Linked DNA regions of Mus musculus: all the other regions are reported to be linked to region 4. Evidence: microRNA targets listed by miRTarBase, many of them from high-throughput screens and not tested one by one. Region 4 holds a microRNA gene; each other region holds the end of a gene's coding sequence. Distances are between the middles of the regions.

What was found. The annotated mature microRNA mmu-miR-466e-3p reads UAUACAUACACGCACACAUAAGA and lies in region 4 at 1,391-1,413, shown strand. An mRNA with a match to its seed (bases 2 to 7 or 8) in the 3' UTR can be bound and repressed. Matches are read on the target gene's strand: a 7mer-m8 pairs with bases 2 to 8, a 7mer-A1 pairs with bases 2 to 7 and ends in A, and an 8mer does both.
Region 1: the mRNA of Hecw1 is a reported target of mmu-miR-466e-3p. The part of its 3' UTR that is shown has no 7-base or 8-base seed match.
Region 2: miRTarBase lists Pdxk as a target of mmu-miR-466e-3p. Seed matches in the 3' UTR shown: 8mer at 2,388-2,395.
Region 3: the mRNA of Csrnp3 is a reported target of mmu-miR-466e-3p. The part of its 3' UTR that is shown has no 7-base or 8-base seed match.

What each region holds. Positions count from the first base shown.
Region 1 is chr13:14,227,974-14,231,158 of GRCm38, forward strand. It overlaps Hecw1 (HECT, C2 and WW domain containing E3 ubiquitin protein ligase 1), which reads right to left. Exons shown (of 29, transcript NM_001081348.3): 29 at 1-2,787. The coding sequence ends at 2,676. Among named protein-coding and RNA genes, the nearest start is that of Gm26129, 140 kb to the left of the region's middle.
Region 2 is chr10:78,438,053-78,441,207 of GRCm38, forward strand. Pdxk (pyridoxal (pyridoxine, vitamin B6) kinase) reads right to left here. Exons shown (of 11, transcript NM_172134.2): 10 at 3,085-3,151; 11 at 1-2,861. The coding sequence ends at 2,749. Among named protein-coding and RNA genes, the nearest start is that of Mir6410, 4.8 kb to the left of the region's middle.
Region 3 is chr2:66,022,391-66,025,575 of GRCm38, forward strand. Csrnp3 (cysteine-serine-rich nuclear protein 3) reads left to right here. Exons shown (of 7, transcript NM_153409.5): 7 at 1-3,185. The coding sequence ends at 633. Among named protein-coding and RNA genes, the nearest start is that of Gm52514, 95 kb to the left of the region's middle.
Region 4 is chr2:10,477,748-10,480,932 of GRCm38, forward strand. Mir466e (microRNA 466e) reads left to right here and starts at 1,341; the gene lies at 1,341-1,424. All of the region lies in intron 10 of Sfmbt2 (Scm-like with four mbt domains 2), which reads left to right. It overlaps Mir669j (microRNA 669j), which reads left to right and starts at 163; the gene lies at 163-283. Mir467a-2 (microRNA 467a-2) reads left to right here and starts at 1,051; the gene lies at 1,051-1,133. It also overlaps Mir669a-4.

The DNA of each region.
Region 1 (3,185 bases), not on the chromosome of region 4:
GCCCTATCTGAGGAGCTATTGACAGCCGATAGCTGCTAAGAGTCAGTTTTCTTTCTTTCCTTTTGTCTTTTTTTTTTTTTTTTTTAGAGTCTTACTAGGTAACTCTGGATGATCTGGAATTTGCTCTGTTGACCAGATTGGCATTGAACTCACAGAGCGCTGCCTGCCTCTGCCTTCCAAGTGCTGGGATTAAAGGCATTTTAATGCCATAAAGGTGCACCACTGCGGCCGGCTATGACAATCAAATATGTATATGTGTATGTACACACACACACACACACACAAAATGATACATTTATATCTTCCAGGGGATGACCTCATACTAATTTAAGATATGGACAAACAGCACAAATTGGACTCAATGGGTCATTAAAAAATGACATGACACTGAGAAGGAATGGAATATTGGGGAGTGAATGAACAAGGAGTTAGGGAGAAGAGTGTTAGGTGAATATGATTGAAATACATCGCAATAACTTCAAATAATTAAAACGAGTATGTTAGAAATGCTATTGCTCTTGGGATTTGTGTAGAACCTTGCATAAGGGTAGAGGTATAACTAAAAATTAATTTAAAAATGCATTTATCTGAGTTTCTTATTCACATGTCATTTCTAAGAAAATTTCTTCCTTCTGTATGTTGGTAGACTATATATTAATCTATTTAATAGATTGTCTCATTTCTGCAAATTGTAAAGCTCTTCAGGAGCAGCTTCCTACATTTGAACAACATTCTCCTTTTCAATGTATGGCAAGTCAGTGGTAAAAAACTTGAATGGTTGAATTTTTTTGTGAGGTTTTTATGTATGTATAAGATGAATTCTAAATATGCTATTCTAGGAGTTAAAGATTTAGTGAAAATGACTTTAGCAGTGCTTTTGTTCCGAGTTCATTAGTAAATAACAGCGCCATTGGACTTATTTTTCAGATTCTGAAATATGGGCCAAATCTTACCCCTCAAGCTGTGTTTCATACAATGTACATCCCATTTTTTAGTAAAACTTATTTTTGATAGCAATAGAAAACTAAGTTTGTATCATATATACTTCTTGCTTAACAAAGAAACACAGGAACACAGAGTGTCTTGGCATTGTGAATAATTTTTACTAAGAAAATATTTTAATGTGCAGGAACAAAACACACTGCTGTACTGAGCCACGAGGCATGGCTTCATCCTAAGTTAGCTTTACATTCTCAGACTTGTTCTTTTATTTTAATATGTTGACTACAACAATGAATATTTAAATAGTTGGGTCTCTTTAGCTTTTTTTTTTCCCAGTGAAGAAAAACCACTTTCATTTATGTCGTATTTCAGACAACATGGATAACATGGTTACAAAAAATAGCAAATGACCATTATGGTTAAATTTATCTCAAATGTACTTAAGATGCCAGGCTGTCTGTGGAGCCTGTGATTGTTTTTCTAAAAACACATTTTCTTAAATATTTTGCTGAATGCTTTAAAAAAATGGATTTTTTTTTTGTGGACACAAGTCAGCGTGCCTTTGAAGAATCACTAAGGATGAAGGAAAAGTTTATATTGCCCGTGATCCTTAACAAGCACCATCGTGCTCTGCAGCTTTGTATGTGGTGTCTGTGAACATCAGATGTGACAGAATTTGAACACCATGATTTAAAAAAAGGAAAGGAAAGGAAAAAAAAAAGAATGAGAAAAGTATCAAAGCTAAAAAGAAGCAAAAGTTTGGCCTATCACGTAAATAAACTTGGCTGCAACAAAAGCCATGAGATTTATTTGGACTATGTGTGCGTGAGAATAGATTAAACAAAATTCATCGATTGGAATAAATGTCATATGTCCTGTCCTTTTTCCTGTTTGCCTTATCACTTTTTATGGTGACAAAATTAGAGGTAAAGGCTCATCCTTCAATCTACAGCAATTAGGATTTGCTCCTTGAACATGGTACACAAGTTTGTGCTTCTTGGGTGGTGAGGGTTCACCAGGGCAGATCCCCCACCTCACTTTTCTGAACTCAAGTTGATTTCATAGTCCATATAACCCTTGGATTTACTGATAACCTTTTCCTTCTTGCTGTTGTTAATTGCTGGAAGTTTCATATTTGCACCATATGTCTAGGTTAGTTCTGGCTGATGGGGCTGATACCACTATGAATCATGAGTTGAATGAAGAAAACGTTTCTGTGTGGCCTTGGCTGTCCATTTGGATAGAATGAATAGGAAATGTAGAGATAGAAAGGAAAAAATTAGTCAGCTCCCAGGTCTGGAAATAGTTGCTAGAAATTAGGAAAAATGGAGGTTCTGTTTGGAAGACATGGGCATTTAAAAGCATGGAATGCTTACAGCTCAAATTATCTTTAAATGATAGAAATGGAAGTAAACATTTATTACCATTTCGTCAAGTGTAGCATAACTTGCACTCATATTTCATTGTTAGGAATGGAGGTATGTGGAAGTATACACAGACCTTGAGACAGCTGTTTTGTAGTATTGCATACAGGCTAGCAGTTCATTGGAAACAGAGGAGATAAGCCTGAAGATTAGATCTTAGAAGAAGGCAATTCTTCATGCACAGCTTTTGCCAATTCTAATTTGCTTTGAAATAAAAATCATGGAATACCAAAGTCAAAGGAGGGAGTAAGTCATCCCAGAGAGGGTGGTGTCACTGTTCAGGACAATGCCAGGCAAGGCTCCACGTCTTCACTCAAGTCCAAAGGTGCTGGTTTCTTCTACTGCTGTTAACAGCTTTTCATACAACATGGAATATGAAGGGTATGGTGGGAGATCCAATCGGTTGAAGCACGTATGTGCCCTGAGTTGGGGAGAAAATACTGGTGAGGGTATTTTAAGGACTGCTTTTGGTTACACTGATTACTTAAAAGAGGAAATCAAAAGTAAGCCAGACAATGATTTTGGTCAATCAAAAAAGACTGCAAATGGCAAAGCATGGCTGTTGAGATACAACAAGTTTAGGAAATTGAAGACCTAGAAACAGTTAATTGTTATTTGTAAATAAAACTACACTATACTACAAGCACAGTAGAGAACCAACAGTCAAGTCTATGCTATTAGCCTAATTTGAAATTTAAATAATATGAAGGAGGTGGAGACTTTATTAGTGCTAATGGATCATTCCAAGACATCCTTACTTCCCTCATGAGTTCTAGGCCTTGTTAAACCACAAGTATCTACTTGGAAGAGCTACTGGTA
Region 2 (3,155 bases), not on the chromosome of region 4:
AGCAAGGAAACACAAACTGTCAGTTCTGGCCATGCTGACGACACAATGGCTTCCTGGGATGTCAGGCTGACCTGGGGACACACTGACTCCCACTTACTGTCAGGTGTTGCACAACGCCAAGTCTGAGGCCCAACAGAAAGATGTACACAGTAAAAAACAACCACCAAATCTCCCAGCAGGATGGCTGCTGTTTAATCTGCTGGTACCAGCATCCACCTGGGCCTCTGACACTGCTCCGGCTCCACCCCGACCCCTGCTGGTGGATACTGAAACTGCAAGTGGAGGTAGAAACCTCTCTTCTCTGGTTCTGCAGGACTGGCACCATCTACAGCTGTCACAGAAAGTGTGGGAAAGCATCAGGACTGGCACATGCATGTCCAGCCGCACCTCCATCCCAGGGTGCGTCTCTATCATTCAGGGGGTTGGGGAGTGACATTCACTCAGACCTGGGAACCAGGTTCAAGCCTTCCCTGACTCACCGCTTTCCCTACAGAGACTGCAGCTCTATTGTAACCTCACATTGAACCTGACCTCCCAGAACTGCCCCTTGGAGGGACACCCATTCTTAGCATCCACTGGTGGCTTTTGTGGTCAGCATCCATCTGTCACATGGACAGACATGGCTTTCCAGGACCTCTCAGTGCAGGTAGCTGCGTGGATGTCTGGAAGAGAGGCACCCCAGATAGCAGCAATAAAAGGGAGCACTGGTCATATGTGGTGTGGTGATTCCTTCCTAGTATTCAGGAGGTGGAAGGAGATACTTTGAGACAGAATCAATGTCCCCAATAGGAAGCGGCTAACCCTGGGCTAATGCAGCTTCCTTCCCAAGCACATTACTTCCTTACTAAAATAAAGTAAAAGTAAAAGCCAATTCTGATTTGGATACTAGGGGCCTGCTGTCTTTGCTTTCTTTTTTCTTGGGGCTCAGAGGTGCCACATTGGCACCAGGTTTGGACACATGTCAGGCTTCATGGCCTTAACAGAGAGCTTGCTAATCTTGTCCTGGGGTACTGATGACCAAAGTACTTTTTAAAATTACATTGTGTGTGTGTGACAGAGAGAGAGAGAGAGAGAGAGAGAGAGAGAGAGAGAGAGAGAGAGAGAGAGAGAGAGAGAGAGAGCCCAGTTCTCTGCTTCCTTCAAAGCTGTAAAAGGCTTATTAACGGACACCTCAGAATACGGGCTGGTTCAGGTCCATGTGGACCAGCATCTATCTCCTCCATCTGGGGCATCATAATGGGGAAAGGGTGTCGCTCTCAGAGCTCCATGGAGACCCTATGCTTCTGGGGAAGAGGTAGGCATAATGCACTCTTCACCTCTCCCAGTCTCCCTGGTCTCCTTAGGCTGTGGCTTCTCAGAAGATAGATATCTTAAGGACTGAGGAGCAGGGATATGGGTGCGGCTCGCAGCCATGATTAGGGACCCTAAACTCTGGAAAGCAGAGCCAGGAAGTTCACCCCCGAGCAGTAGACAATGGGACACGTCACAGTCCCCAGCTGGGGTCTAAGAGCTGCCCCTGCATACACAATGCCAATGTGCTCTGTAGAGGAGAAGACCTTCCAAGGAGGCAGAGGCCCTGGCTTCACATCAGGGCCCCTGGCCCCTCAGCATGAGGTGGGCACAGAATCCAGAAATGAGGGTGAGGGGAGTGGAGAAAACCCGCACTTCAGTCTGCCACCAGGGGGCAGGAGCCACCTCTGTCTCTCCTTCCCTGTCTGTCCAACCCCCTGTGCAGCAATGCACTGTCCCCAGCAGCATGTGGCAGGTGAACTGCCACCTGACAGTCCTGCAGGGGCTGTGTGAGTGCCCACAAGAGCCCAGTGAGAGCCGGGCATGGTGGTCCACGCCTTTAATACCAGCACTCGGGAGGCAGAGGCAGGCGGATTTCTGAGTTTGTGGTCAGCCTGGTCTACAAAGTGAGTTCCAGGACAGCCAGGGCTACACAGAGAAACCTTGTCTTGAAAAATCAAAACCAAAACCAAAACCAAAAAAAAAAAAAAGCCCAGTGAGGCAAACTTCCCTGAATTCCCAAGCTGCCCTGCACTCAGCTCCAGAGTTACAGGAGACCCTGCAGACACCCAGACGGCTTGCAGATGTCCTGGAATGTTCCCGTTCCTTAAAAGGTCCCTGTCACAGTGACCGCATGCTTGTGCAAGCACGGGGATATGAAACCTTCCCTCGCAGACCAGCAGCTGCATTCGTCTGACATTCTGGGACACCACCCAAAGAGCAGCAGAGACACAGAAACTCTAATGCAGGAACAAGGGAAAGACCAGAATGGCAAAGAAGATATTTGGCATAATTCTTCCAATGCCAACGGTTAAGACCTAACCCCATTTTAAAGACAGCGCCGACACAGGCAGAGTCTATACACAATCAGGACTGTGTATACATACACAGGGGGCAATGGCAGCCAGTGACCAACAGAAAGGTCCAGAGGCAGCAGGCTGGTCTCCTCCACCTACCTTCCACATACCTATGAGGCAACATGAGGCAGTCAGAGGCCCAGGGCCTTTGGGGAAGGGACCATGGTTGTGAATCACACATTTCTACGACGGCTTTGTCATTTTTTAAAAAAATAGCACAATGGCACATTTTTCACGCTAGAGACTGGCTGAGACCCGACTCTCGGGAAGGAACACGGATGTCGAGTTTCAGTCATGGCTCTAAGGCAGACGTTACAGCTTTTCACAGGGATGGAGACGGACACCTCAGCTGGCTGTGTGTCGGGGCGAGTGGGTGTGGTCCTCACAGCACTGTGGCCTGCACGACGATCTCGGGGTCCTCGATGTCCCTTTTGCTCTGGACCATCCTCAGCTCCAGCTGAGCGGGGCTGGGCTTCTGTCCTTCTCCTGCTTCAGCTGCAGAGCACAGGGAAGATCAGAGCAGGCAGGATGGAACCTAAGACACCCTTCCCTCTCCCATAGTTCTGAATTCCTGCTTCAGGAGGGGGTGCCACACTGCCCCCTGCTGCCTCACTTCTAACATAGCAGGAGGCAGAGGCTGGAAGGGAGAGCTCCCCCTCCCTCTTGTCCACCTCCAATCAGGGACTACTCCCGTGGAAGACAGAGCACAGACAGGTACCTTTTGCACACCGGATGGTCCTCTGTAGGACGTGCTGCATGGCAGACACGGTTTTCTCACAGGCCACCTAT
Region 3 (3,185 bases), 56 Mb from region 4:
GAAGAAGAGGAAGAGGAGGAGGAAGATGACGACGACGACAAGGGAGATGGCTTTGTAGAAGGGCTCGGAGCCCATACGGAGGTCGTCCCCCTTCCGTCTGTCCTTTGTTACTCTGATGGCACCGCAGTTCATGAAAGCCACACAAAAAATGCTTCATTTTACGCTAGCTCTTCAACTCTCTACTACCAAATAGATAGTCACATCCCAGGAACTCCTAGCCAGCTCTCTGACAACTATTCTGAAAGAGATACTGTCAAAAACGGTGCCCTTTCGCTGGTGCCTTACGCCATGACCCCAGAGAGGTTTGTTGACTACGCCAGGCAAGCAGAAGAGGCCTATGGAGCCTCCCACTACCCAGCTGCCAATCCGTCTGTCATCGTTTGCTGCCCCACCTCTGAAAACGATAGTGGGGTGCCCTGTAACCCCTTGTATCCTGAACACAGGTCCAATCTTCCCCAAGTGGAGTTTCACTCATACTTGAAAGGCCCTGCCCAGGAAGGGTTTGTTTCCACATTGAATGGCGACAGCCACATTTCAGAGCATCCTGCAGAAAATCCTTTGAGCCTTGCAGAAAAGAGCAGATTGCATGAAGAGTGCATTCAGTCCCCCGTGGTGGAAACGGTCCCCGTTTAGTTGCTTAAATTATTCTATTACAGGACCAAGTCTTCTATTTAAGGCACTGTATTGCCTTTGCTGGGCTCATCGTTGTTTAAACCTGAAGGCCAAGAGTTATGTGGACTGTGATTAATCTTCCAGACAGTATTTCCTTCCTTCCTTTCTAGCTTCCCAACTGTGGCGTGGCACAAATACAGTCGCTATGGGGATTTTAAACGATTTTGAACTGTTTTGATAGAAAAATGCTAAATTTAAAAAAAATGCATATCTTACAGTTGCCTACCTGTCAAACTGTGTGAAACCTGCCAAGCTATGCAGATCATAGCTCCAAGTTTTAGATTATCGGGCCTGTGCAAGATTGTTAACTAAGACTAGAAAACAAGCAGATTTAGAGTCCTAATTTTTCGATATATCTGAAGATGATGGTGACTTTTTAATGTAAAAGTAATTATTGTAAGAAAAAAAAAGATTGAATCGTTTCTTGTGTATTTTATTTATGGTAGTTTAGAAGTCATGCTTTGAAGAAAATGAACAGCATGTTCATTGAAGCTGAAGACGTGTTAGCTAGCACCACAGAGCATGCCCAGACGATTGCATCTGGAATCCACCCACATTTTTACGATCATGACTCAGCAGATTTGCAAATACTTTCTTAAGGATGAAATAGGCCTATTTTTGCTATTTGGGACAAATGAGTCTATACGTGCAGGTCCTTATGCAGTTTTCTCTCACGTTAAGAGTTAGGACAATCCTCTGGCGAGGGTCTAGTCCTCCGCTCTCCCTCAGCTGAGATAGACGGAATTGCCTTTCCTTTGTTAAACAGTGTCATCTTGTTTCTTAGCTTGGACAGCACCTTTAAACTCAACTCCCTCCTTCAGAATGCACTTTAGTGCCCCTTCACGGTACCTCGTGTGGGATGGGGTCTCAGAAGGCTTTGAAATATTTTTTTTTTAATTATTAAAAAAAAGTAACTAAGGTTCATACAATAGAGAGAGAGGATTCTTCCAATGACATGAAGGAAAATGACTTGTTTCTTGTTTTCCTTCACCGCTCTAGGACCTAACTCAATCCTTACAGCGAGAAGGCTGGGGGTGGGGGCAGAGCCTCAGCACCCCATCACCCTCTACAAATGCAAAAATGTGTAATGCCACTTAATGGCTAGCTGATTCAAGGCAGGCCTGGGCTCACTGACTCATTAGGCTTCGTTTTCTGGAGCTTTTTTTAAAAAAAAAGTCTGTCTTGCCTGGGGTAGTCAGCAGCACATCCCAGAATGCATTGCGAAGGCAGCCACCTCACCTTCTCTTCCTTAGTAAAGAGAACGAATAGAAAGGAGACACTCCCCGCCCGCCTGCTTCGAGCCTCACCTCAGAGGACTTGGAGCAACTTCTTTCCCATCAGCTTAAGCAGCTATAGAACGAGTGTTACGGTTTCCCCCATGCAGTTATTCTGCTGAATCTGTTTTCCAGTTTTGACATTGTATTGTGGCATCATTTCTCATACTTTATGGCTATTTAAAAACGCAGACACACCCCTACTTCGTAGTAACGGCGTCTTCTAAGTTTTTTATGCCTCCTTGATGTGGGCATTTGAATAACTTTCGGATTTCAGTTCCTTACAGAATACTATTTGATCTGACGAGGCTTGAATGTGCTTCAGAGTCCTCTGGTGGGAAGCCGCTACTTAAACTCCATGTGGGGAAAGTACGTTCGCTTGTGGAGTTGTTTCTTCTCTAAACCACCTCAAGACTAAATAAATCAACGCTAATTTTTACTACCATTAAAAGGACTTTGGGTTTGTCATGCTATTGAAAGCAGTAATGGGGGCTGACTACTCCTTTTGGTTGACCGGTGGGGCTAATCTGGTGGGAATTCTGTGGTAATATGTCCAGAGTTCTCTGCAGCGTTGCCATCAGTAGCATTTGGTTTCCAGTTAGGCTGCCTCCTGCCCACACAATCTAAAGGGCAGGGGCTCAGAGAAGAAATGACAAAAAGCTATTGTTCCTTCGTTCAAGCTAATGAAAGAATTCTGTGTTCCATATTTGCTGGGCCATTCCAACCTCTGGAAGTATCTCCTGGTGAGACACTCGCAGGCTATTCTTGGAACAGAGTGTGGGGCGGCCCCGGGTAATCCTGACTAAGGTAGAGTTGATTTGGTGAATGACAGTCCACTTCCTGGATCCTCAGAGATGTTTCTTTCAGTCCAGCTTTATTTTCACAAAGTTTGGAGCATTTTTGTATCTCATTTGGTTTTTCTTTTGTAGTCCTTGCTTTTCAGAAACAGAGCTTTCTTCCTTTCTCTATTCAAGTGAGATAAAAAGTTTCACTCTGCTAAGGATAATTACCTTTCTAAGCATGAAAACAGACATGCTAAGTTTTCACATCCCTAAGTAGACATCCCTCATGAATCAGAATCGTTACAGGCCATCTATTTTAGCAACAATAGCAAATCAAACCCTACTTGCCTTATCTTTATTAGACACACACAAACACAGAATACACATACAACATCCTCTAGAGAGGGGCAGATTGTGGGCAGTAGGTAGTAATGAATACTGGATAGTTAGTTCCTCA
Region 4 (3,185 bases):
TGTGCATATTCACTTCTCTATATGAATATGCATATACACACATGCACACACATTCATAGGAATGGCCAGAGCTATGTCTCAGTTAGGAGGTGAGCACTCTTGCCAGTGTCAGGAGGATGAGGAGTTCAAAATCATGTTTAACTTCATGATGAGTTAGAGTTCAGCATGCGATTCATGTGATGTCCACCAAGAATGTGCATGTGTGTATAGTTGTGTACATATTCACTTTTGTATATGAATATGCATATACTCACATGCAAACATACTCCCACGAATGGCCCGAGCTATGACTCAGTTAGGAGGTGAATACTCTTGCCAGCATCATGAGGATGAGCAGTTCAAATTCATGTTTAACTTTTTGATGAGTTAGAGATCAGCCCGGAATTCATGAGATTTTCCCTGTGTTTGTGTTTATGTGTATAGGGAAGTATGCCTGTACATGCACGTATATGAACATGCATATATATATATATATATATATATATATACATACATATATATATATATACACACACACACAACTAGGGACACATACATGTGCACACAAACACACATGGCAGTCATCCATTTGATTTATACGTGCTTAGAGTTTCATTGAGTTTATATTCATGGTATAGGGAAAAATCTCACTTATCAAATGAAAACTGTTTGCCAGAGTTAGGAGTCTCAGGAGGTCAAATTCATGCTTAACTTCATGATGAGTTAGAGATCACCCTGGATTTGTGGGATCGACCCTAGTTATGTACATTTGCATATAATTGTGTGTGCACGTACATGTGTATATATGATCATCCCTGTAAATACACACACATACAAATGTATTCACACATACAGGCATGCACACTCACACACATAAGAATGACACTCATTGATCCATTTGAATGATATATGTCTTAGAATTTTGCTGATTATAAAGTAGAGGGACAGTGAATATTCTCTCTCACCAGGTGTAAACAATTGGCAGTGTCAGGAAGATCAGGAGTTCAATTTTATGCTTAACTTCATGAGCAGTTAGAGATCATCCTGGAATAATGTGATGGCCCCTATGTATGTGCCTGTGTGCGTAAGTGCCTGCATGTATATGCGTGTATATTTTATGCATATACATACACACACCTACACACACATGCACACAGACATGCGGGAATGGCACTCACGGATCCATTTGAATGATATGTGACCTACTGCTTTGGAGGTTATGTATGACTGGGCCAGGGTGAGGTCTCACAAACCACGGGAAACCCTTGGTAGAGTCGGGAAGATCAGGAGTGCAAGTTCATGGTAAAGGCATGATGTGTTAGAGGTCATCCTGGCATTCATGTGATTGCCCCTATGTATGTGTGTATGTGTTGATGTGTGTGTACATGTACATATGTGAATATGATATACATATACATACACGCACACATAAGACACATATGAGCACACAGACACATGGGAATGGCACTCATCAATCCATTTGAGTGATAAGTGACTTAGAGTGAAAATGCTTGCTAGAGTTAAGGGTATCAGGAGTTCAAATTCATACTTATCCTCATGAGAGATCAGCCTGTGATTCCTCCATGTATGTGCATGTGTGTATAGTTGTGTGTGCATGTTCATGTCTATATTTGAATATACATAACATACACACACACGTATAAACGCAAGCACACATACACAGACACAGGAATGGCATTCGCCAATCCCTTTGAATGATAAGTGATGTAGAGTTTTAGCGATTATGCAATAGGGGACATTGAATGGTCTCACCCACCAGGTGTAAAAGATTGACAAAGTCAGGAGGATAAGGATTGCAAATTCATGCTTAATTCAGTTAGAGATCATCCTGGTATTCATGTGAGGCCACCCATGTATGTGCATGTGTGTTTACTTGTATATGCATTGCCTCTGTTGACATGATATACAAAATATAAACACACGTGTATATGCAAGTACAGACACAGAGAAAAAAATTGCATTCATTTATACGTTTGAATGATATGTGACTTAAAGTTTTAGATTATGCAGTTTGGGACAGTGAATGGTTTTACTCACCAGGTGTGAAAGATTGTGGATCAGGAGTTCAAATTCATGCTTTACTTCATGATGACTTTAAGATATGCCTGGGATTCATGTGATGCCCCTATGTATCCCTATCTGTATCTGTTTCTATTGTGTGTGGATTTGAGTATATGGATGTACCTATCTACACAAATATATACATGTACACAGACACAAACAGAAACACACACACAAACATCAGTGCAACTCATCGATCCATTTGAATGACGTGTGACTTAGAGTTTTAAGATTCCTCAGTACTGAATGGGGAGAGGTCTCACTCAGCAGGTGAAATCCCTTGACAGAGTCAGGTGGATCAGGAGTTCAAATTTGTGCTGAATTTCATGATGAGTTCATGACCAGCATGGGATTCATCTTATGCCCATCAAAAATTTGCATGTGTGTATAGTTGTGTGCATATTCACTTCTCTATATGAATATGCATATACACACATGCACACACATTCATAGGAATGGCCAGAGCTATGTCTCAGTTAGGAGGTGAGTACTCTTGCCAGTGTCAGGAGGATGAGGAATTCAAATTTATGTTTAACTTCATGATGAGTTAGAGTTCAGTATGCGATTCATGTGATGCCCACCAAGAATGTGCATGTGTGTATAGTTGTGTATATATTCACTTCTGTATATGAATATGCATATACTCACATGCAAACATATTCCCACGAATGGCCCGAGCTATGACTCAGTTAGGAGGTGAATACTCTTGCCAGCATCATGAGGATGAGTAGTTCAAATTCATGTTTAACTTTATGATGAGTTAGAGATCAGCCCGGAATTCATGTGATTTTCCCTGTGTTTGTGTTTATGTGTATAGGGAAGTATGCCTGTACATGCGCGTATATGAACATGCATATATATATATGTATATATATGTATATATGTATACACACACACACACACAACTAGGGACACATACATGTGCACACAAACACACATGGCAGTCATCCATTTGATTTATGCGTGCTTTGAGTTTCATTGAGTGTATATTCATGGTATAGGGAAAAATCTCACTTATCAAATGAAAACCACTTGCCAGAGTTAGGAGTCTCAGGAGTTCAAATTCATGCTTAACTTCATAATGAGTTAGAGATCACCCTGTATTTGTGTGATGGATCCTAGGT